3 linked regions of the Oryctolagus cuniculus genome follow. The protein of the gene in region 1 purifies or fractionates together with the protein of each later gene. This does not show direct contact. Links are inferred from orthologs where the notes say so. Each region holds a gene or a part of one and is shown in the gene's direction. Other genes may lie near its edges.

What was found. Proteins that work in one complex are often made in the same cells at the same time.
Region 2: the proteins of MTX2 (region 1) and IMMT purify together in Homo sapiens (co-immunoprecipitation; 5 studies listed by BioGRID and IntAct, counting the BioPlex papers as one, with this or other methods). This does not show direct contact. The link is inferred for Oryctolagus cuniculus from reciprocal best matches to the Homo sapiens genes MTX2 and IMMT.
Region 3: the proteins of MTX2 (region 1) and CHCHD6 purify together in Homo sapiens (co-immunoprecipitation; 3 studies listed by BioGRID and IntAct, counting the BioPlex papers as one, with this or other methods). This does not show direct contact. The link is inferred for Oryctolagus cuniculus from reciprocal best matches to the Homo sapiens genes MTX2 and CHCHD6.

Annotation. Positions count from the first base shown.
Region 1 is NC_091434.1:64,896,120-64,904,308, reverse strand, and holds part of MTX2 (metaxin-2), read left to right. Parts: intron 1-4,318; coding exon 4,319-4,395; intron 4,396-5,639; coding exon 5,640-5,732; intron 5,733-6,245; coding exon 6,246-6,284; intron 6,285-6,660; coding exon 6,661-6,786; intron 6,787-7,832; coding exon 7,833-7,909; intron 7,910-8,189. UniProt on the Homo sapiens protein: Involved in transport of proteins into the mitochondrion.
Region 2 is NC_091433.1:116,581,804-116,589,992, forward strand, and holds part of IMMT (MICOS complex subunit MIC60), read left to right. Parts: intron 1-2,388; coding exon 2,389-2,500; intron 2,501-5,297; coding exon 5,298-5,435; intron 5,436-5,776; coding exon 5,777-5,872; coding exon of another isoform or gene 5,873-5,880; intron 5,881-8,189. UniProt on the Homo sapiens protein: Component of the MICOS complex, a large protein complex of the mitochondrial inner membrane that plays crucial roles in the maintenance of crista junctions, inner membrane architecture, and formation of contact sites to the outer membrane.
Region 3 is NC_091441.1:109,713,822-109,722,010, forward strand, and holds part of CHCHD6 (MICOS complex subunit MIC25), read left to right. Parts: intron 1-3,063; coding exon 3,064-3,184; intron 3,185-6,910; coding exon 6,911-6,980; intron 6,981-8,189. UniProt on the Homo sapiens protein: Component of the MICOS complex, a large protein complex of the mitochondrial inner membrane that plays crucial roles in the maintenance of crista junctions, inner membrane architecture, and formation of contact sites to the outer membrane.

The DNA of each region.
Region 1 (8,189 bases):
GAATAATTTTTAATATTAACAAAGTAGTACCACAAAACTGATAAATAATAAAATCCTGAATATAAATGACATAGATTATTATAGTTATATTTTTGCTTGAGCAATAATAACACATACAATCATTCTTTCATGAATAAATAGTTGAGTGAATTAAATTTATTTTTTTATTTTTTTATTTTTTATTTTTTTTGACAGGCAGAGTGGACAGTAAGAGAGAGACAGAGAGAAAGGTCTTCCTTTGCCTTTGGTTCACCCTCCAGTGGCCAACGCGGCTGGCGCGCTGCAGCTGGCGCACCACGCTGATCTGAAGCCAGGAGCCAGGTACTTCTCCTGGTCTCCCATGCGGGTGCAGGGCCCAAGCACTTGGGCCATCCTCCACTGCACTCCCGGGCCACAGCAGAGAGCTGGCCTGGAAGAGGGGCAACCGGGACAGAATCTGGCGCCCCGACCGGGACTAGAACCCGGTGTGCCGGTGCCGCAAGGCGGAGGATTAGCCTAGTGAGCCGCGGCGCCGGCCAACATTGGTTTTTTAGGATTATATTTTATCTTTTCATTGTGATACAGTGATAACTTAGGAATGACTTGTGTAAAACATTTTTTCACCTTGAATTTTTGGAGGTTAGGTAATAATTGTCAAATGTATGGAGATACCCACCCCATACAGACTGATACATATATTTTATTAGAGTTATGCTTTTATACTTAGAAGACAGTTCCATAAAGGAATTTTTTAAAATTTTGTACTTTTTAAAAAATTTTAACAGATGTATAAAAGAAACATATTTCTGTCTCTCCCCTCTATCATTCTGCCTTTCAAATAAATCAGTACATTTTTTAAGAAGCAGAGAAGGGGCCAGCAGTGTGGTGCAGGTATCTGTACTCTGCTTCCTTTTTTTTTTTTTTTTTTTTTTTGACAGGCAGAGTGGACAGTGAGAGAGGGAGACAGAGAGAAAGGTCTTCCTTTTCCATTGGTTCACCCCCCAATGGCCACTGCAGCTGGCGCGCTGCATCTGGCGCACCGTGCTGATCCGAAGCCAGGAGCCAGGTGCTTCTCCTGCTCTCCCATGCGGGTGCAGGGCCCAAGCACTTGGGCCATCCTCCACTGCCTTCCCTGGCCACAGCAGAGAGCTGGACTGGAAGAGGAGTGACCGGGACAGAAATAGGCGCCCCAACTGGGACTAGAACCCCGGGGTGCCAGCACCGAAGGCGTAGGATTAGCCTATTGAGCCGCTGCGCTCTGCTTCCAATCCAGCTCCCTGCTGAAGTGCCTCTTGAGAAAGTAGTGGAAGATGGCCCAAGCCTTTGGTCCCTGCCACTGACATGGGAGACCAAATGGAGCTCCAGGCTCTTGGCTTTTGCAGCCATATGAAGAGTGAACTGCTGATGGAGGATCAACTGATCAATCTGTGTATCTATCTTTCCCTCTTTATCTGTCACTCTGCTTTTCAAATAAATAAATAAATAACTTACTTTAAAAAAGTTGTACTTGAGACCAGCATTGTGGCACAGGCATCGCATCTCAGAATGCTTTGGAGTGCTGGCTGCACAACATCCCATGCAGAGCCCTGCTAATGTGCCTGGGAAAGCAGAGGAAGATGGCTGAAATCCTTGGGCCTCTACCCACGTGGGAGGCCTGATGGAGTTTTGGGCTCCTGATTTCAGCCTGGCCCAACCTTGGCCATTTCAGCCATTTGGAGAGTGAACCAGCGGATGAAAGATCTCTCTCTCTCTCTCTGTCCCTTTCTCTCTCCATCACTCTGCTGTCTAAATAAATAAATCTTTAAAAAATATTAAAAATATACTTATTTTTGGGGTTATTTGTGATGTTTCAGTACAGGTATATACTGTGTAATATCTAATTAGTGTAAATGTATTTATCTCATCAAATCTTTTAAGATTTTTTTAGTATTGAGAACACCCCAAATCCCATCTTCTAAATTTTTAATAGAAAAATTTATAGTGTATTAACTCTGTTGTGCAACAGAATCCCGGAACTTCTCTTTAGCTATAATCTAGTACCCACAAATCATTTCTCAGTCTCTCCTCTTATAATATCTATACCTATAAACATAAATATATTTTAGTTTCTTGGAGGCCATTCATGACTTATTTATGTTTTGATTTTATACATAGGTTTAAAAATCTTACTGAATTCTGGTGAAATAAATTATATTGTGTTATAACTATCTTTTTCCTTCTATGTATTCAAAAAGATTTTGTATGTATACATACAAAAAGGTTGGTAGTCTAATGCTAACATTAAAATCTTTGGCAAATGAGAAATCATGTAGTTTATCTTCCTGTTTTTTAATTACTAAGTGTCACCTGGTAGATACCTATCTTCTTTTTATAGTATGAAAAATAAACTTAAGTCTTACACACACATAAACAGCATTCATTCAAAGGAGTCTTTGATAGCTATATGAAAATATCTCTTTCTACTAAGATACTTAAATGTCATCATTTTTTGAATTAGTATGCCTTTTATTATTATTTGGGATGATCAGGGACATTTTTAAAATTTTATTTGCTTGTCTTATGTTTTGTGGTAGATTTTTAAAGTAGAAAGCTTGGAACAGTCAGAAGACCACTTGGCTAAGAGATAGAGCTTTAATCCTTCTCTTTGACACATACTATTTCCTTGGTAAATTCTTTTTCTTTTCCCTGCGTCTCAATGACTTCATCTGTTTGTAAATTGACGTTGTTGGATCAGATGACAACTAAGGTTCTTTCCATTTTGAACATTCTCTAAGATACAAACTTACTCTCATTTTCTTTGGAAAGAAAAGTTCTAAATGATAATTTTGACTAAAAGGAAAATACTTGTTTGTTTTTAATGACCTCTGATTGGTGCCAGAGAATAACTGCCTCTGCTTTGGCCTGATACCTGCAGTATTAAGGCCGTGATATTGGCTCCATTTTGAATCAGGCTAGTGACAGAAACCATTATTCACTTCTAATTTATAGCCTTGATTTTTTATATATCTCTTTATATATGAGTACTTAGTTGGTTACTTATAGTGCTTCTGTGCTTCAAAATCTTTTTAAAAATAATTGAATATTTTTCACAAGAACCTGAAACTGGTTACAGAAAAGGAGAAATACACTGTGTTCAAACATTGTCATACGTCCTAATACCCTTGAATTGCAGGCACTCATTTTTTTTAACTTCATGGGACCTGTACTAACTCTAGTAGTATAGTAGTTACAAAGACTTTAAATCAAACGGAAAACAATATGGCCCACTGCTTACTCAGTTAAATTATTTTCTTTCTTCTAAGATCTATAAAGCAGTAGTAGGAAGGAATGCAGAATTGCTAACAAGGAAAAGTCTTCTAAATACATCTGTTGAGTTGTTGTGTTCCAAAAGGGTGGTCTTTCCTGTGTAATGCATGTTATCCTATGGTTGCAGATGAAGCTTTTGTTGGTGCTGTGCACCTCATCCATTACCCGGAGGCTGACTGTGCCAGAGAGGAGAGAATCTATTGAAATGGAGCAGGAAGAAGCCTGCTGATAGTGTGAACTCTATTTGAACTAGGACTGACAGGAAGTTTTAACCTTTAGCATTTGGAGTAGACCTTGTGTTTTGGAGATTGTTTTTGTTTTCTTCTTCTCTGATAATTGCATCAAGCACTCGTATTTATTAAAATGAAATATTCCTTTTTAGTGTGGCATTACTTAAAGAAGCCAGTTTTTATAATCATACTGCTTGTTCCTTTTTCCCTCATGTATTGGAAGCGTACTTTGTGTTATAACTTATAACCTAGTATACCACCAAAGATTGTTAATTTTTTTATTCTTAATATTTTGAGTCAAGAGCATTTGTTTTGAAGCATTCTGTGCTTAAAATGTTGAGCTCAGGGACATCAGAGATAGAAAATTAGAAAATGTAGAAAGAAGGTTTCTTGGATACAATTTACAATATAGATGGATCCATTGTACTGTACTCTGATGAGAAAGACCAGTTAAATTTCTTTCAAACTTATCAATGATCATAAACCAGTGTCCTAGCTTGGTTCATGTAATTTGGATAATCTGTGTTTATTGCTATGACTTCTTAGTGTTAGCTCTGAAAAGGGAATTATTATATATTCTTGAATTCTATAAATGAATCGACTGTTCTTTTTTCTTTTGTTTTAAAATTAGTTAGTTATCAGTTTTTTAAATTTAGATTTTAACACACATCTGTCTCTAATTTCTAAAGGTTATAGTTTTATGAAATCTTTCTATTAATAAACATTTCTGAGTTTTGTGTTAGTTTCTTAACACAAACTTCAATTTATTGAAAATATTTTTGTACATTTTTTTCCCTTAACAGGTAAAGTACCTTTTATTCATGTGGGAAATCAAGTAGTGTCAGAACTTGGTCCAATAGTCCAGTTCGTTAAAGCCAAGGTAATAAAGATATTAAATGTGTTTGATCACATTTACTCTTGAATAAGTCATCCATCATTCTTTAGTATGTCTTAACATTTACATTGATTTTTAACATAGTTATATAAAATGCCAATACAAAACAGTGGAAAATATAAGTTGGTGTTTTTTCATAATGTAGGTCAATGGCAAAAAAGGTAGTTTGGTCTTTACAAAATGGTAGCTTTCTAACTTACGCTTATGAAAATTCTGGTCATAAATGAAACTGTTTAGATTGTTAAATTATCTGGTTGATCTTTGAGAAGGGAGATATAACATAGGTTTAGAAGTTGAATTTATTAATTTATTCATTTGATGATTCCATCATTAATTTACTTTATAGTTATGAAGGAGTATTAACATTTACATTAACATTTTGAGGAATAACCTTCTAGACTTTTTTTTCACATTCAGAAAAACATCATAATATTGTGTTATTTTGTAACCTGCCTTTTAAAATTGCTGATATGTTTAGAAATTCTTTCATGTTAATGGCTATTAATATATAGGAATATATCATCTTTTTGAATTGTGTAGTATTCTGTTGTGTTTGAAGCATTGTTATTTTATTTGTTGTAAGTTTTTACTGCTAGGTGTTTAGATTGTGGCCAATTTTTTTTGCTATAATAGCATGCTAAGATAAATTTCCTTGTGTATATATACCTTTGTACACTTGTCCATCTCCTTAGGATAACTTCCTAAAAGTGATCTTGGATGTCATGGCGTGTGCATTTTAACAATCTTACAAACAAATTGCCAGCTTCAACTAAAACTTTTACCATTTCATGTATCTACTTATTACTAAAGTGTATTAGAATTTTGAAATTAATAGCTATTTTCTTCTCTTTTACTAACATTTTTTCATCTTTGACCACTTTATAAGCAGCACATGTCAATCTTCCAACATTCTTTTTATTACTAAGATTAATCTCTTTAAAAAAAAAATCACAGTTTTACTGACCATTCTGTTTTCTTTTGTGAAATAGTTGATGTGATTTTGTTTGTTGGAAGATACATTGTACAAAGACAAATAAAAACTACTCACTAATATTTGATAGTGATAGAATATTAGGCCTACCTTTATATAAATTAATTTTCTTTTATGTGGCATTTTGGAAATTAACCCATTGGATATGTTCATGTTATGTTACTTGTTAGTAAGGTGACTGAAAGTTTTTGTATCTTTAATATAATATTCTCTTACATTTTTAAAAAATTCCCTTTAGGGTCATTCTCTTAGTGATGGGCTGGATGAAGTCCAAAAAGCAGAAATGAAAGCTTACATGGAATTAGTCAACAATATGCTGTTGACTGCAGAGGTACAATACATGATATAGAGGTTGAAAGAATCTATAACCTTTTATAATCTATACTATCTCATAAAATACAGTTTTTCTCATGGGTTATTTTAAAAGTTATAGAGAAATGGAAAACAATTAAATGGTTCTAGGACTGAGGTGGTTATCCAGATTATTTGATCATTATCTTTGAATATGTTATCTCATATATTTAGTTATAGTTTTTCTGTTTGAAAGAAAAGTGGTGATTTTTACCAACTTATTATTTTACTTTGGCCTTATGACATTTACCTGAATATTGTCTATAAAATACTTTAATGATATGTAGAGATGGATTGTGTGAATAAGAAATATTTTTATATAGTACCATCATTAAATTTAATAACTCTACAGAATATTAACTAAGGAAAAAACTTCTTTACTATGTGACTTACAAAGTTGACTTATAAAAATTTAGTGGGGTAAGAAATAACTTTATTTATTCTTGTTCTTTTTGGTATTCTAAAGTTTTAGTGACTGTTCTTTTGTTCCTAGTTGTATCTTCAGTGGTGTGATGAAGCTACAGTAGGGGAGGTGAGTGGTTCTGTAGCATTTATCTTAATTAAAATTTAATGAGAAAACACTTTTGCTCAGAATTGCAAGTCCCTGCTCATAAATGAAACATTGTGGTTTATACCATTAGTGATATAGTTTTTCACTTACCTTAATTTTGCTTGCACATACATTTTAAGGAAGCTATGTGTCATTGTTTGATATAACTGGTTGCAAAGTACATAAAAGTTTATATATTTTTAAAGGGAATGGTTTAAATTTTAATTGTTTGGGTTGTAAACTACATTTTTTTTGAGAGCACTCTGTTTTCTGAAAATGTTTATTTTAGAATTCAGTTTGTAAAAACTGCATTATTATTAGGAAGGATCATGTTATTAACAAAATCTTTTTGCTTTAGATCACCCATGCTAGGTATGGATCTCCTTACCCTTGGCCTCTGAATCATATCTTGGCCTATCAGAAACAGTGGGAAATCAAACGCAAGATGAAAGCTATTGGATGGGGTAACAAGACTCTGGACCAGGTCAGTTTAGGTTGAGTTAACAAACCCCTCAAGTTTTCTGCATTAAAATTTCCTGCTTTTTGTTGATACAGCTTTACAAAATCTTAACATAATATAAAATTGGTAAAAATATAATTTTCTCTTACTTGAAGTAGTTTTGTTTTATAAAAATTACATGTGCTTATTGTAAAACAAGTCATATAATGTAGAAAACTATAGAAAAAGAAATAAAGATTGAAATTCCACCGCCCAGAAATTGCTGCTCTTAAATTCTTTGGTGAATAGTCATCTCAGTGTCCCTGTAGAACATTTTCTTAAATGGACCATATTAGTTCTGCTGAGGTAACCTGGATTTTTTTCCATTGAATGATACGTTGTGATCTTTTATGTCAATAAATATAGATCTGTAGCATCAGGGTTTTAAAAGAAAACTATATTAAATACAATATAGTACTTAATATATCTATTTTTCTTTGGTGTTAAGTTTACTAAAGTAGTATATTTTTAAAATATACATCATGTCCAGATCATGAGTTTGAGCATCATTAAGCTAAATAAATGTTTCCTTTTCAAGGCTATCCCTAATCCTATCCAACCATTCCATTGATGTGTGCCATTGACCACAAGGGGGATTCAGGAAATGAATAGAGATGAAGTAAATAAAGTTCATGTCCACTAGTAGGAAAACAACTCAAATGGTTTTACTTGTGGTGGGTCAACAGTGTCATCTTCATGAAGCAGATTTTTTTTATATATGCAATGTCATTTGAATAAATGGATTCAGGAAAATGTTATTTTAGGGAGTAGAATTTTGAGAGAAAGACTTTCTGGACAGTAATCCTTGTAAGTAACTCAAATCTACTTGTATGTAGAAGAAATTTGCTCTCAAATTTTTGTCCTTTTTCTTATATATGTATGTCATTTACGTGGTAGTCTGATAAAAATGTAAAAAGTTAACTTAAATTTGCATTTTTGTTGTATACTGTGACATGAATTCAGTTTTATATAGTTTTTATTATTTTGCAACTTTAAGTGTGTTTTTCTTTTGGGTCCATTGCTTTCATCAGGTCTTAGAAGATGTAGACCAGTGCTGTCAAGCTCTTTCTCAAAGACTGGGAACACAACCGTATTTCTTCAATAAGCAGTAAGAAGGCTTATTTACTTATTTATTTTTTATTTTCATTTATTTATTAGGTTTCAAATTTCTCTTATCCTAAAGAAATTGCTTTTCTAAGAAATTTTTATGGAAAGATTTAGTTATTTTTAAATTCATTTTTGTACTCAATAGTTATTTAGCACCTCTTGGCTATAAGGCATGTGCTAGACTCCAAGAGACTTAAGATTTTTAAAATGTGGTCCTTGTCATTAAGAATTTCTCCAATTTGCAAGTGTCGTCTTGTAAGCCAGTCAATATGGTATATGAT
Region 2 (8,189 bases), on another chromosome or scaffold:
TGATAGTGCTGTTTTTCAAGGCAATAAGTATTTGTGCCAAAATGAAATTATTTTCTTTAGTCAGGGGTTAAAATTACTAGCAGCTTTCTTCATTACCTGAAAAATCAAATTGGAATAGTTATCCATATCTAAATGTGAAGGCCTAAAAAAACATTGATATATTTTCCACTTTGAGTCAAATTTCAACCCCTGCACAAGATAACTAGAAAGTGAGACTTTCAAGTTTTTTTTCTTTAATTTCCCTGTTGGCTTTAGCTTCTTTTCTTTTTTAAAGATTTATTTATTTATTTGAAAGTCAGAGTTAGAGAGAGGAGAGGCAGAGAGAGAGGTCTTCCATCCGCTGGTTCATTCCCCAATTGGCTGCAATGGCCGGCCGGAGCTGTGCCTATCTGAAGCCAGGAGCCAGGAGCTTCCTCTAGGTCTCCCACGTGGGTGCAGGGGCCCAAGGACTTGGGCCATCCTCCACTGCTAACCCAGGCCACAGCAGAGAGCTGGATTGGAAGAAGAGCAGCCGGGACTGGAACCGGCGCCCATATGGGATGCCGGCACTGCAGGTGGCAGCTTTACCCGCTGTGTCGTAGTGCCAGCAGTTTATTGCTTTCATAAAATAAAACTGTGCATTTTATTTCAGAGTATCTGCTTTATTACCTGTATGATTATTTGTGTAGTAAGTGTTTTCTCAATACTTACTATGTAGACATTAAAACTTTTTTGATAGACATAGAATAAGACCTGTATGAATGGATACTAATGTTATATTCATAGATGGAACTTAATGTCAGAAAGATGTTATTTCTCTTATGTGTCTCATAAATATGTTTTTACGGTATGTGTACATAAACATACAAAGAAATAGGTAAAGAATTCTAATGACATTTTCTAGAGGGTGAGGTACCAGACCTCATGATTTTAAAGTTCATATGGCAGAATTCATGATGTACAAGACTAGCCAAGAAAATTTGGAAAAAGGATGGGAAAGGGTCAGAAAACATTTGCTTTCTACCTATTATGTTGCTTTAATCAAATCAGTTCTTGACAACAGGAATAGAAATTAGAGGAATAGCACAACTACTGGAAATAGATTTTAGAAATAGATTTTATTCATACACGTTTATTTTGAATGTGAATTGGTAGAACTGTATGTGAAATTGATCTGTTAATATCAAAAATATAGCACCTTGATCCAGCAGTTCCTTTTCCAAGAAATTATCTTGCAGATAACATACAACAGCACTTTTTATTTATTTGGATGTTCATTGATTCAGTGTTTGTGAGACAAAATAAACAACTGGAATGTTGAATGGTTGACTAAATTCTGAGATAGTCTCTTTTTTTTTTTTTTTTTTTTTTTTTTTTTTTTTTTTTTTTAAGTTTTAAGCTTTTTATTCAGTGAGAGAAATGTATAGGAGAGTGAGGGCCCTATCTAAAAGAGAGAGGGAAATCTGGGTTCATACCAAGTACCAGGAGCCAGCCATGTGGAAGAGCATGGAGGGCCAGGAAGCATGGGGTGGGTGGCCTGAGGGCCATGCGCCCCAAAGGTGCAGGACAGCAAGGCCCGCAATGCACAGGGGTGGAGGGAGAGGTTTCAGGCCGGGGCTTCCTGAGCTAGCTGGAAGGGAAAGGAGCAATGAAGAGACCATGTAAAACCACTGATGTATGCAAGTATTGCTTTGCTTGTTTCAGTGAGCCTGTGTTTCCTAATTTAGGAATGATAATGTTTTATTAAAAATAAAAGGGATATATTTCTTGTAGTTTCCTGTGGGTAAGTAGTCATCTTAGGGATATCTGAGACATGCTGCCAGGTTCTGACAAAATGTGAGACATCACAGATGGTAAATAAAATATTTCTGTTACTCCTTAACTTTCTCTGGCACATCTCTGGAAGTCTTTTATGGATAGTACCTTAAATCTAAGGCAGGTAGTAACTGGAAAAGAGAAAAGCAAGCATTACTCACAAATTGATGTGTAATTGCATGAATCCTGGAGATTAAAGAAACAAAAACTGATTTTCATTTTTACTCAGATTCTGTAGTAAACTTTGTTTCTGACACTGTAATTTGATTTAGAAAGTAAATAGAAACACCTGCTTGTTGTATTTGTAAAAGAATCTTTAAGGGGAAGGGCATATGTATACTTTATTGTTTGTCCTAAAAGAACCTTTTGTTAGTACTAAAATATGCATTAGTGATTTGGAATAGAATTTTTGAACTGCAAATTTTCTAGTAATGATGACTTTTCTTACTGTGATTAATAAAATGCTTTTGTTGTAAAGCACTCATAATTTCATATTAAAAGCCTGAAAGACTTGACCTTTGAAATATTATAAATTGTTGTGTGCTGTCTTTTAGAAACAGTATTATATGTAAATTTTTTTTTTTTCCCCTCAAGATTCAGTCTGGTCCACTAAAAATCTCCAGTGTATCAGAGGTAATGAAAGAATCTAAACAGCCCGCCTCACAACTTCAGAAACACAAAGGAGATACTCCAGCTTCAACAACAGGTACTTCTATCTAAAACCATTCTTTAAAAATTATGGGGAAATGAATTGTTTTGATGTATTTGTCAAGAGAAGGCCCCCGGGGAAGGACTCTTCTGGTCCCCAGCTCTCACAAGTCATTCTTGTGCTCAGTTTCAGAGTTGAACATAGCATTGAGCTTTATTATGAAGAACTGAGTGAGGAAACAGTATAGGTTGTCTGGCCTGAAACATATTTATCTTTTTTTCCCTCTGACTCCTAGACTTTTCGCCTCTTTGGGTTTTAAGATTTATTCTCCCCCACCCCCCACCTCTTTTATCTACCTCTTCAGCAGTTCTTTAAGTAATCAAAGTGTCTTTTTGTAGTTCCTGCAGATATATTTTATCTTTGGGTTTCCCAGTAAACCCACCCTAATTTACAACTTGCCTAACTCTAACATGTTCAACATGAATTCAGTCTCCTTGGCTTTCTCCATAGTGAAACTTGTCCTTGATTCAATCAGATGTTTGTTGGCAGATGGTTCACTTAGTGTTATGTGCAGTCTTCTAGGCACCATTGGGTATAGTAATCAACAAAATCATTTTAGAAACAAAAAACCTCTGCTAATATTTCTTGGTGGGATTAAGGGAAAGAGATCAAGTAAAATGTCAGTATGAGAAGGGGAGTATTGCAGTTTTAAATGGAGTGGGTGAGAAAAGCCTCACTTGGAAAGTGTTACTTGAGGAAAGGCTAGAAAGAGAGAAGGGAGTAAGTCATGTAAAAAGCTGGTGGGGAGGCATCCCAGGCAGAGAAGCTAGTGGAAAGAGGCTTATTCAAGTGAGAAGCAGATAACGCTGGAGTAGAGTGAGTGTGGGACGCACAGCAGCAAATCCTACCAGAGAGGGAGCAGAAGGCCTGTTGTGGCAGTCAGTACTTGAAGCAGTGCTAAGAGATTTCATTTCTGAGTGGTGTGAAGAGGTGTTGGAGGGTGCTAAGCCAGGAGGCTAATACTTGACTTGAATTTTTGTAAGATCACTCTGGCTGTTGTGAACCAAGAAGGGACTGAGGGCAGAAGCAGGGAAGCTAGTTAATGAGTTTTTAACTGAGACCTTCAATTTAAAAAAGGAAACTGCATCCATTGGTTCCTCCTCCCATTCCGTCCCTAGAATTACTTCTTTTTCTTTTCCATCAAAACTTGTCATTAAAGTTGCAAGCCCTTGATTTTTAAAACTCTCTATGAAGTGTTTCTATTAAATGACTTCTGCTCCTAATTTACTGCCATCACTGTGAACTTTTCTTCTTGTATTTGAGTGTCATCTTGTTCCTGATCAGATGTCTTCTTTCAGTATCTACTATTCTTCAGAGTAATTGAAATTATTCTTTGGTCCGGGCCAGTGCTGTGGCTCAGTGGGTTAACGCCCTGGCCTGAAGCGCTGGCATACCATATGGGCGCCGGTTCGAGTCCCGGCTGCTCCACTTCCGATCCAGCTCTCTGCTGTGGCCTGGGAAAGCCGTAGAAGATGGCCCAACTGCTTGGGCCCCTGCACCCACAAGGGAGACCCGGAAGAGGCTCCTGGCTCCTGGCTTCGGATCAGTGCAGCTCCGGCCGTTGCGGCCATCTGGGGAGTAAACCAGTGGCTCTCCTCTGTCTGTGTAACTCTGACTTTCAAATAAATAAATCTTTAATAAAAAGAACAATTACTTGTGACACATTTTAAAAAGAAATTATTCTTTGGTAAATTTTGCTTTCTTTTGTGACCCTTCTTTATTACAGACTCTTTTCCTTCATTATTCTCTTTCCATGTTACAGAAATCTGATGTCTACTTCCTACATGTTTTTTTTTTTTTAAAGATTTATTTATGGCCGGCGCCGCGGCTCACTAGCTAATCCTCCGCCTAGCGGCGCCGGCACACCAGGTTCTAGTCCCGGTTGGGGCGCCGGATTCTGTCCCGGTTGCCCCTCTTCCAGGCCAACTCTCTGCTGTGGCCAGGGAGTGCAGTGGAGGATGGCCCAGGTGCTTGGGCCCTGCACCCCATGGGAGACCAGGAAAAGCACCTGGCTCCTGGCTCCTGCCATCGGATCAGTGCAGTGCGCCGGCCGCAGCGGCCATTGGAGGGTGAACCAACGGCAAAGGAAGACCTTTCTCTCTGTCTCTCTCTCTCACTGTCCACTCTGCCTGTCAAAAAAAAAAAAAAAAAAAAAAAAAGATTTATTTATTTATTTGAAAGTCAGTTACACAGAGAGAAGAGGCAGAGAGAGAGAGAGAGAAAGAGAGGTCTTCTCATCTGCTGGTTCACTCCCCAGTTGGCTGCAACAATTGGAGCTGCGCTGATCCGAAGCCGGGAGCCAGGAGCTTCTTCTGGGTCTCCCACGGGTGCAGGGGCCCAAGGACTTGGGCCATCTTCTACCACTTTCCCAGGCCATAGCAGAGAGCTGGATGGGAAGTGGAGCAGCTGGGACTCAAACCCCAGGCCTATATGGGATGCTGGTGGCACTACAAGCGGCGGCTTTTCCCACAGTGCCGGCCCCATACTTCCTTACATGGTAAGGATTAGTACTGTTACTGGAAGTCTTGCCTGAGTGTAATGATAGTTAAAATGCAGATGAATGTTGACAAGACTTCTTTGTCTTAGTGCTTTTCCAACTATCATTCAATTTGTGTGAGTTTGTGTTTGCAGTGCATGGTGCCCCTGTTTGTATATTATTCAGATGTATGGCATTACATGCCTTTGTGTTTTTAAGGAGTCAGATGTAATGTGGGCAGTTCTAGCAGTCGATTATTACGTGTTTGCTCTATTAATCCAAAAAAATATAAATGCCACGAGTAACATATATTTATAGCACCTACAGAGGCAGCTCAAATTATTTCTGCAGCAGGTGATACGCCATCAGTCCCAGCCCCTGCAGTTCAGCATGAAGAACCAGTAAAAATTGATCGTCCTGAAATTACTGGAGGAAAACCCACACCTGTAACTTCAGGTAGTTTAATTATTTATATTTACTGTTTTATAGATAAAGGGCTCATGAGAATTACTTAATGCCTAGGCAACTCTTAGACATGATGTAAGTATACATTTCTACTGCTCTTAAGTTTTTAGACTGGTTCAAGAAATTTGTTAAAAGTCCTAATAACTCTTTGAAACCAAGAAGATTAAGAGTTGATCCCTTATGCATTTTGGAATCATTAAGAGTGATGCAGTTTTAGAATTCTCGCCAGAAAAATGCTCTGCATTGATGTAACTGACAAGTGTGAACGATGGTGTGAGCTGTGAAAATTGTGTGCTGAAATTTGATTTACTCTTATTTACTTTTGCTGCAAGAGGAAGCATCCTCATCTTCTGTAAGGGAACGCCCACCTGAAGAAGTTGCAGCTCGCCTTGCACAACAGGAAAAACAAGAACAAGTTGAGATTGAGTGTATGTAAATCCAACAGCTTCTCAAGTCCTTATCAACTCTCAGTTGCTCTCAAACCTCAGCACAAGTTTGTCGTCTGACAGTCGGGTTTCTTTTTCTTCAGTGGCATTGCTCTGTTCACCACTTTAATTTCATCCCTTGTGTTTTTCACATCCGAATTTCTTTTGTGCAGAGTACAAGGCTATTAGTATATAGTTGGTGAACATTCCAAGTAATCCATGATCTTTTTCCGTTTGTTATGGCTAGTGCTAAAGATTCTTTATGCTCTGTGGGGGGGTGTGTGTGTGTGTGTATCAGAAATTGTGTATGTTTCAGTGACTTGCCTAAGAGTCTTTTAGTTGGTAATGAATGTGTAAGTACCTCTGAAGGTCAGAACAGCTCACTTTCTGAATGAGCGCCCCTGCCTCTGGACTCGCCCTCCAGTACTGCACTTACCTGGCGGTGGTGGGAGGTGGGATCTTCTGTATGGCACTGTTTCTAGCGATAAGCAAGTATATCCCTTTTTGTTTCACTTTTATGTTAAGGCTTTTGATGGTTTTAAAAAGTAGATAGCTAAAAATGTATTTTTCCTTACTGAACAAAGCACATGGGACACAATTTATTGCACTGTGCGGCAGATATTAATGTCTGGGGAGATGTCGTGAGCTGTTGTTTTAGATTCATCTAGCAGCTATTTGCAGTTTTTGATCTTTCCTTGTTACTGTTTGTTCTGCCTTGACGGGCTCCTCCTTTGCTTCTACTGCATTGGTTCTGTCATACTCTGAGGAATCAAGATGTTAGGGTTATGTAAAAGAGTGGAAGAGACAGAATGATGAGGGGTTAGGACATGAGTTTGGCTACCTGAATTTGGGTTTTTGTCTTTTTTCATATTGTTCCGAGTTCTTGACTGTGTGACACATGATTGAGAATTGTTGAATAGTTGACTTTTAATAGGTGAAATATTTCTACATTTTCCACCTTCTTAATTTTTCCAGAATCCTCTACTGTTTCAAACTGAGTTTATTGTTTTTTGGTGTGTGTTTTTTTCTTCCTTTATACGTAAGCACCTTGAATTAAGGTATAAATATGAGATGGAAGTATCTGCTGTTTCATCTCCCTTTTTTCTTTGTCCAGTTCCTTTTGTCTTTGTGAGTGGAATGAAAGTTTCCATGATTTTGTTTGCCCCTCAGATTCCCCCAAACTTTATGTGTGCGTGTGTGTGCTTGTGCACATGTGGGTGTGTAATTTTTACCCAGGGTCAGATCACAGTGAGTAGACCTTTGAAGAGGGCTTGAAGGAGCAGGTAGCCTCTCAGCTGTCCACTTGTTGTGGCTCCTGTGAAATGGCTCACGACTGTATGCTCAGATGTCCATATTACCACAAGCCTGTTGTGGGAACCACATTACCATGTTTCCCTCTCTTGCCTCGTTATGCCGCCTGCTCTGTAGTCCACCTTCAGTCTCACATTGATTGTGTGGTTTTTCCTCATTGTTAGCTTTCTCCTCATTTCTTTGTTGCATAGGTATCACGTGTAGCACTCCAGGTTCTGTTTGTTCATCTCTAGCTTAGGCTTCTTTTTCTCAGAATCACCTTTTTTGTTGTTCCACCTAAGATACATTTTGGTCACCTCTGATATAAATTATTAAATTAGTTTTCTCATTGGCTTTCCTTAAGTGACCATTTTTTCATATTAATATGAAATAATGCCTTGCTTTACTTAAAAATTTTGTTTCAAAGTTTCTGTTTGACATTCTTGAGGCATCAGAAAAGTGATCTTAATAGGAGACAACATTGGTTTCTGCTGTTTCTGGAATCCTTTGTAGAAAAACACTGTCCATTCCAATCTGCCTTTGCTCTTTTCGTTTGCATGTTTTCTTGTTTGTCTATTCTTTTCCTTAAGGTCTTTGCTATGTACTACTTTGAAAGTAGTGCTTCTTGCTGAGGATGGAAATGCACACCTCTTTTTTCATGTGGTCTATGTAATTGTTATTTAAAATGAGAAAAACTGGTGATTATGCTGAATTTATATCTTCTATGCACCTATAACATGATTCTTCCATTTGAAATATGTTAGCTATCTTAACCAAGTTTTTCCCCTTAAACCTAAAATATTTTGTATTTTCAAAAACTTCACATATAAATAGAAGAAAAATAGTGTAATAATCCCCGATAGATCTTCATCCATTTTCCATTATTAATATTTTACCATACTGTTAGTGAAACTTTTATTTCCTAAATTTGAATACTCTGCATTTTTAAAAAACACTTTTGGGGAAATGAAATGGAGGACTCAGTAGGAGAGAAAGAAGTTGTTTAAAATAAAGACAGTTCTAAGAGGAA
Region 3 (8,189 bases), on another chromosome or scaffold:
CGGTGATTCCATGTATGACTTTTTAAGGAACTTCCAGACTTTTCCCCAGCTGCTGTACTATTTTACATGACAGTGTAACAGAGTTCTGACTTCTCCACATGCTGGGTGTCAAGTGGTATCTCAGGGTGGCATTTCTCTAATGACTAATTATGTTGAGTTTCTTTTCATGTGCTTTTATTGGCTATTGATGTATCTTCTTTGGTGAAATTTAAATTGGATTGTTTTTATTATTGAGTTGTGGGAGTTCTTTTTATGTTCTAGATGTAGATTACTTATTAGATGTATGGTTTGCAGCTGTTTTTCCCATTCTGTGGGTTGTCTTGTAAGTTACTTTGATACACAAAACTTGTAAATTTTGAGGTCGATATATCTGGTTTTTTCTTTTGGTTGCAATACTTCTAGTGTCATATCTAACAGTCGGTTGCCAAAGCTAAGGCTGTAAAGATTTGCCCTTATATTTTCTTCTGAGAGTTTTATTGTTTTAGCTCTTACATTTAGGTGTCTGATCGATTTTGAGTTAGTTTTTGTACGTGGTGTGAGGTAGAGGTCCCACTTCATTGTTTTGCATGGGGATGTCACTTGTCCCATCGCCATTTATTGCAGAGGCTCTGTTCCCCAGTTGAGTCACCTTAGCACCCTCGTTGGAAGTCAGTTGAGTGTAGATTATGGGTTTACTTCTGTGCTCTGTATTCTCTTCCATTGACTTGTTCTGTGACTAATTAGGAATTTGATTGGTATATCTTTTTTTTTTTTTCTTTGACAGGCAGAGTGGACAGTGAGAGAGAGAGAGAGACAGAGAGAAAGGTCTTCCTTTTGCCATTGGTTCACCCTCCAATGGCTGCCGCGGCCGGCGCGCTGCAGCTGGCGCATCACGCTGATCCGAAGCCAGGAACCAGGTGCTTCTGGTCTCCCATGCGGGTGCAGGACCCAAGGACTTGGGCCATCCTCTACTGCACTCCCGGGTCACAGCAGAGAGCTGGCCTGGAAGAGGGGCAACCAGGACAGAATCCAGCGCTCCGACCGGGACTAGAACCTGGGGTACCGGCGCTGCAAGGCGGAGGATTAGCCTATTGAGCTGCAGCGCCGGCCTGATTGGTGTATATCTTACATACTAGACAGACTTTACTCTTACTGTCATAATCTTTAAACACTTATGTTAAAAAAATTAAGTCACAGGAGTGCCAAAAGTAAAAGTCTTGCTCCTGCCCCTGCTTGCAGGGTGTAACCCCCTGAGCACGTTGGTAGTAGCCCCGTATATTCCCCCTGGGTGCAGATCCGTGTATGTGTGTTTGGGCAAATAGTAAAAACTCAAATGTACATTTTAAAAAAGATTTATGAATCTGATTGAAAGACTGAGTGACAGAATGAGAGCAAGAGGGAGAGAAGTTACTTTCCATCTACTGAGTCACTCCCCAGATGGCCACAAACAGCTGGGGCTCGGCAAGCTGAAGCCAGCAACCAGGAGGAGCTCCGTCCCAGAAGTAAACTTCTATATCTATGATCATTTGACTTTAGGCAAGGTTGCCAAGACATTGTTCATTTAGCTATATTTCTGAGTTTGTGATTTTATACTTGTGCATATCTTTTTACAAAAATTGAGATATAGAAAGGATTTTCTGACTGTTCAAACAGTCAGCAGTTGTGTTGCATACACCCTTCCATGATGGTTCCTAAATAGTTCAGGCAATATACACCATAATTTCTTTTATTTTAAAAGATATATTTGAAAGGCAGAGTTAGAGAAATGAGAGATTTTCCACCCTCTGGTTCATTCCCCAAATAGCCACAATGGCCAGGGCTGGGCCAGACTGCAGCTGGGAGCCAGGAGCTTCCTCTCAGTCTCCCATGTGGGTGCAGGGGCCTAAGCACTTGGGCCATCTTCTGCTGCTTTCCCAGGCACATTAGCAAGAGTTGGATCAGAAGTAGAGTACCTGAGACTTGAACCGGTGCCCATATGGGATGCCAGTATTGTAGGCAGTTGCTTAACCTGTTACGCCACGATGCCCGACGCCACGATGCCCGCCCCACCACCATAATTTCTTTAGCCAATTTCCTGTTGTTAGATGCTCTCATGTTTCCAATTCTGCCCCCCCCCCCCAGTGCCACAGTGAGCTTCTTATACATGCCTCTGTGCACACAGGGGAGTACTCTTCTCAGTTAGATATCTGGAACTGGAATTGCTGATCATGTCTTTTGTCTTGAAGTCATATTTAATGTCTTCTCTCAACTGTGCTTTATGATGCCTTACACATATTAGGCAATTAATAAATATTTACTGAAGTGAACTCTTAAGGGTTTTTATTCCGGATGTATCCCCAGCTTGCTGTTTCATCTCAGTAAACTGTTCAATGACCCCCTGATGCCTATTTCACTTCCCTCGAATGAATGGAAGTTTTGGTGATCCAGTCTTCATTAAAGGCATAGGGAGCAATGAGACTAGCAGCGTCCTGATGATCTGCTCCGCGTGTGGATTCGGAGGGTTTACGGAGATGAGTGAGGGCAGCCCTAGCCCACGGAGCCTCGCGGGCTGCCAGCAGGAGGGAGGGCAGGAGGGGCAGCACCGCCTTGAGAGGCACGCACGTCATAACGGGGGTTTAGGGAGGAGAAAGCGATGCTTCACGTGGGTGCTGTTGGAGAAAGGTCTCTGCAGAAGGGAACGCTCGGGTGCCCTAAATGGGAGAGTCAGATGTAGGCAGGTGCTGACGTGCCAGGGTGGGAAGTGGGGCCTGGTGGTGGTTCCGAGGGAACAGCATATGTGGCCCCCGAGGAGGTGAGAAAATGAGAACTCAAGCTTTGCAGAGTGCAGGACGTGCGTCTGGGAGTGGTAGGAGGTGAAGCTGTGGAGCCAGTCCGGGACGTACTGCGGAAGGCTCGGCATTCCTGACAGGGTTGGCTTTGGCCTGATGGGCTCTGGGTACCAGGAGAGGTTTCTGAGTGGGTCTGGAGGAAGCAGTATGTTCAGGAAATCTGGGGCGTGAACGCAGGGGACTCTGCCTTTCTGGAGGTTTCTGTGGTGTAACTTGTCCCTGTCCCCCTCTTCCCATTCCTCAATCCTTCCTGCAGCTGTCTGAAAATGTGGTTAACCGCATGAAGGATTCCAGCCAGCCTGCAGCAGGCCAGCAGCAAGCCCCTCCGCCGTCTGCGTTGGGGTCTCCAGGAGGCAGTGCAAACACCCCACAGAAAGGTAGGGCGGGTCGCACCCCGGGGAGAGTGGAGGAAGAGGGTGGAGGGTACAACCAGTCACCTGCTTGTCAGAGTACAGTGAGCGGCCCGTGTGGCTCACGTGCGTGCCAGGGTGATGTCAGCAACACTCTTGCGGGGCGTGTGGCTCTCCATGCGTGGCAGACGCTGTCTGGGGCAGTGAAGGCAGCACTGTTCAGTCAGAGCTCTCGGGACCTGGGCCAGGCTGTTTTCCCTCACTCTGTTTCAGTCTCTCCACCTGTGAAAACAGAGCAGAAGGATTGGGTTTGACAACTCAGGTAAGAAGTTGCTGCTAAGGATCCTTAAAAGAAATGTAACCACTACAGAGCCTCAGCCGGACATCCAGCCAGGCTTCAAGTCAAAGGACTGTAGGGATTTACTTTAATTGGGCCAAATAAGGAGGAATTTTGCTCAAGACTTTGGTGCCAACCTCGGTAACTCTCATGTAACCACAGGTCAAGGGGTCCTTTCGCGGCCTCCGGGAGGGGTCCTCTTCCCTGGCCCCCTGTGGAGCTGGCACCCAAGCCAGGCTCCAGCTGACTTAATCTCTACCCTGTTATGTCATCACAAATGAAGAAATTTGTTCTTTTCCTCAAATAACTACTTGTAGCAAACATAAAGAAGCAAAGTCCGTTTTAAGAAAAGAGGCTATAAGCTACGAAAACAGATACTACGAAACAAAAATGTCCTTGGAGCTGCTGCTTTTCTGCTCAGCCAGCACCCTCTATGGGGATCTGGATCTGTCTATGCATGTAACTTGGTTTAAAACCATGTCATTTGTCTGGAGTAGCCATCCACTAGAGGATAAAGTCTGTGCCACAGTGGATAACCGTGCACTGGAGTGTTCTCGTGCATTGCCTCCCAGCGGAGCTGTCTTCTCTCCTCATCTTCCCTGTTAGGGTTAGAGGGCAGCAGCTATATCCTGTCCACTTAGCACTTCTTGAATGCTGTTCATGGACCAGGTCCTGTGCCTCCATGCTAAGACATAATGACAGGCAGGCTGGTATCCTGTCTGTGGCACACACAGCTTTGGCTCAGGGGCCAGATGTGTACCCCAGTGGTTATGTTAGTGTAGCATGGTGCAAGGCTGCCCAGGGTTGGTGGTAGCACACAGGAGGCAATGGCTCATTACTTCAGGGAGGATTTTGAAAGATAGAATGTGGTAGAAGGGCATTTCAGGTAGGGAACAGTAGGGGGAGGGGCCCAGAGGCCAGTGCAGGGGTCTGCTCTGAATGTAAAGTTTAAGGGAAGGAGAGACATGGGGGTGCTATTTAGGGGCCAGGCCATGGAAACCTCCACACAGTAGCCAGAGAGCTCTGGCTTCATCCTCGAGCCAGGGAGCAGGAGCCAGGTGCTCTGACTGCCGTCCCGGTGCTGCCTGCAGCAGGGCTCCCCGTGCGCCTTGAAGCGTATCAGTAGCTGGGTCTGGAGATCTACAAGTGACAGAACTTTACCATGGGTGCTTCATCATCACCCCTCTCTAGCCAACTGATGAGGGTTTGAGGAGGGGTATAACTTGACCCAGGGTATTCTAATAAACTGGATTGCCTGCTGAGAGGGAGAAAATGATGGGAAAAGTGAAAATTGCCAAACTAGGTTACACCTCAGTTTCAGCTTTGGAAGATAAAATAAGCATTTGCCTTGGTTTTGTTAAGTCTCAGCATTATACAAAGCAAGAATAGTGGTTCATTTGTCATTCGGTCTTAGTTCTCACCAGAGACTTTGCAGTTTACGGGATGGGAGTGAGCTTTGAGTTTGAGTGCTGGGGGAGAGTCAGCCTAAGTGCACCGTCTGGAAGTTGACTGATTTTAAGATATTTTTAACTTGTAAAACTAGTTTTTGCTTTTATTTTTGTGATGGAACAAGGTTAGAAAAAGAAGTTAAATTTAAATCCTTATCTCACACCATACCTCCAAATAAATGTTAGAGGAATTAAGAGACTTAAATCTGAGAACTGAAGCCGTGAAAGTATAATAAGAGATTTTCTGAGCACCTCATCAAGTGAAAAAACCTTAAACGAAGAAGAAAGGTAGGAAGAGTGAGATTAGAAACAACAGAAAAAAATGAATGAATGATAAACTAGGGAAAATATAACATTTGACAAAGTGCTAGTAATCTTAATATACAAAGAATCTTAAAGATCCTTAAGAAGGACAGCTCAGTAGAAAATGTGCTCAGATGGCCATAAACATGACAAAGCTGTCTGCTTCACTAATAACTGGAGCCGTGCATGTTACATAATGAGCGTTAAGGGGACCAGGAGAGTGGGCAGGTTCATACATGGAGGCAGGCAGTGGGCTTCATGCCTAATTCTCTACCAAGAACAAACGGAGATGATAACGTGCAGCTCACTACATCTGCTGTAAGTAAATAAATCCAGTGGGGAGTATGCAGAGACAAAACTGCAGGAACTGTCTGCCGGGTTTTCAGTCCACCTTGAGAACTGGCATGTGCCTGAGCCGCCTGTGCTGTGCTCAGGTGAGAGGTGGGCTGAAGATGCCAGTCACAGGCTGACTGCTTTTGGAGGAGCCTCCCTGAAGGGTTTCTTGACAGCTGTGGGACTGGAAGAGCAGATGCCCACGTGCTCTCTCACACAGCTGGCTCCCACGTTGTACCAGTACTGCTCCGGACGCCTGCGGTGGAAGTGCCGGACATCAGGCAAGGCCGCGGGAAAGCACTGAGCTGCGGCTGGCAGGTGCTTTTGGAAGGACTGAGCCTGAGGGGAGGGAGGTAGAAACAAAGACTTCACTGTCACCAGGGCGTAAAGAGAGTCGAAAATTAAAAAAAAAAAAAAAAAGATTTATTTATTTGAGAGGTCGAGTTACAGACAGAGAGAAGAAGAGACAGAAAGGTCTTCCATATGCTGGTTCACTTCCCAAATGGCCGCAATGGCCAGAGCTGGACCGATCTGAAGCCAAGAGACAGGAGCTTCTTCTAGGTCTCCCACGCAGGTATAGGAGCCCAAATCTTTAGGCCATCTTCCACTGCTTTCCTGGGCCATAGCAGGGAGCTGGATTAGAAGAGGAGCAGCTGGACTAGAACTGGTGCTCATATAGGATTCAGGCGTCACAGGCAGAGGCTGTCACAGTGCTGGTCCCAAGAGAATGAATTTGATTGGCTCAGAAATCCCCAAATTCCTGATGATCAGGAAGTAGACCAGGCATCATAATCTAAAGAGTGCAGTAATGCTAGAAGTGAGAACAGATTAAAATGTCATTAGGTTTAATATGGGCATTTGCTGCATTCAGGATTGGGAATCTAGAGTGGAGTTCTAAGGGTAACAAGCCAAAAACTAGCCTGGGAGGTGTCCCCTGAGCAAACATGGGCTCTCAGCCACTGAGGCCTGCGTTGAGATGAGCTGGAGTCCAAATAATTGTTGAGTGAAGAGAGGTGGATCTGGAGCACCGGACTCACATGGCCCTGCCTGCCACCAGCACACGGCTGTAAGTGGCCTGATGCAGGAGACCCTTCGGGATGGGAGGGGCCTGAGGGTGATCAGGTCAGGTGTTCCAGACTGGTTGAATCAAGGCTGTGTTCCTCAGCTGCCCGCGGGGGCATTGGTCTGTCCAGGGGGCATATTCATCTGGGGACTCCTCTGTCCTTCTCTTGGCCAGTCTCCCAAGACCATGCTCATCCAGGAGGTGTGAACATCATGGCTTTGTGGGATCCTGGGTGCTGCTGATGGGCCTTTTCTTCTTTTCCTTCTCAGAATCCAAACCACTGAGGTCGGAGGCCAGTGGTGGCCAGCAGTCCTCAGGAATGAAAGAGGATCTCAAGAGGTAAGCGCGAGCGCCCCCCACCCCTGGCTGGCTGTGCCCTCTCTGAAAACCTTTCTCCTCACCAGGCACCCCTGCCCCTGCCTGTAGTCCTGATGGGTTTGTCTCACACTTTTCATATCATTTGCACTGAAGGACATCCCAGTAGTATAGCTGGCACTTGTTCTGTTTAAAGATGAGTCCACACTACAAGGGGGCATGGGGTGTTGATTGCTGCTGTTCTTAAAAATCATTTAAAAACTTGGGACCAAGCAGTTGGGGGGCTGGATGTTGCATATGTGAGCACAGGCAGGCAGGATTTTAGGGAGAGGAAGAAGGTACAGCCCTCCCCATTCTGCACTTGTCTGGAGGAACAGGCTCCAGGATGTTGGCAACATCCCATCAGCACAGATGGTGATCCGAGGTCTAGCCACATCTCCGAAACAGGACCTGTTTCCTGTCCCATAAGGATTTGTAGAGAAGTGGTTGAGGCACAGAAGGTCCCGTGGAGCACAGCTTGGCAACCTCATTCTGCAACTTCCTAGTGAGGTGACCTTGGAAAATCTGTATCTGAGAAGGACTAAGAGGAGTACTTCTTTGACTGGGTTCCTGTCATGATTACACGTGTTAACACATACAAAGCACGTAAGTATAGTGCCTCCCATACAGAATTTATTAGCGAGTAACTGTGGTTGTTACCGATTGGCATTTTCATTATCCTTCAGGCAGTTGGCCTCTGTGTGGCCAAAGGACCCAGTGAGTTAGCTTGGGGCCCTGTGTCAGCCAGGAGGTTAGCCCTTCCTGGAGGCCAGCCACGCTGGGCTGTTCATGGGGGTGCATTAGGAGCCGCTTTGTAAGAACTGATCCTTCCTGATCCTAAGAGGCCTCTGAGGGAGTGCTTAACCCGAACCTCTCCCACTGTCCTTTTTCAGGTACTTTTAAACATTTTTATAAAATGTTACTATATGCTAGTGAAAGATTGAGAAAACATGTGAAATGAAAAAATTTCGTAGACTCCTCGTCTCAATACAGAACCACTGTTAACATCTTCTTTCCCCGAGCTTAGGATTATTATTTTTTTAAAGTCATAAATAATTTCCCATCTTGAAATTTTCATGTGGTATTATGATTATTTTCCATTAGTTATACCATTGACTCTAAACTTTTAGTTTTAACCACTAGACTGAAAGAATGTATTTTCTAATGGCAATATAATATACCATTTTAGGATTG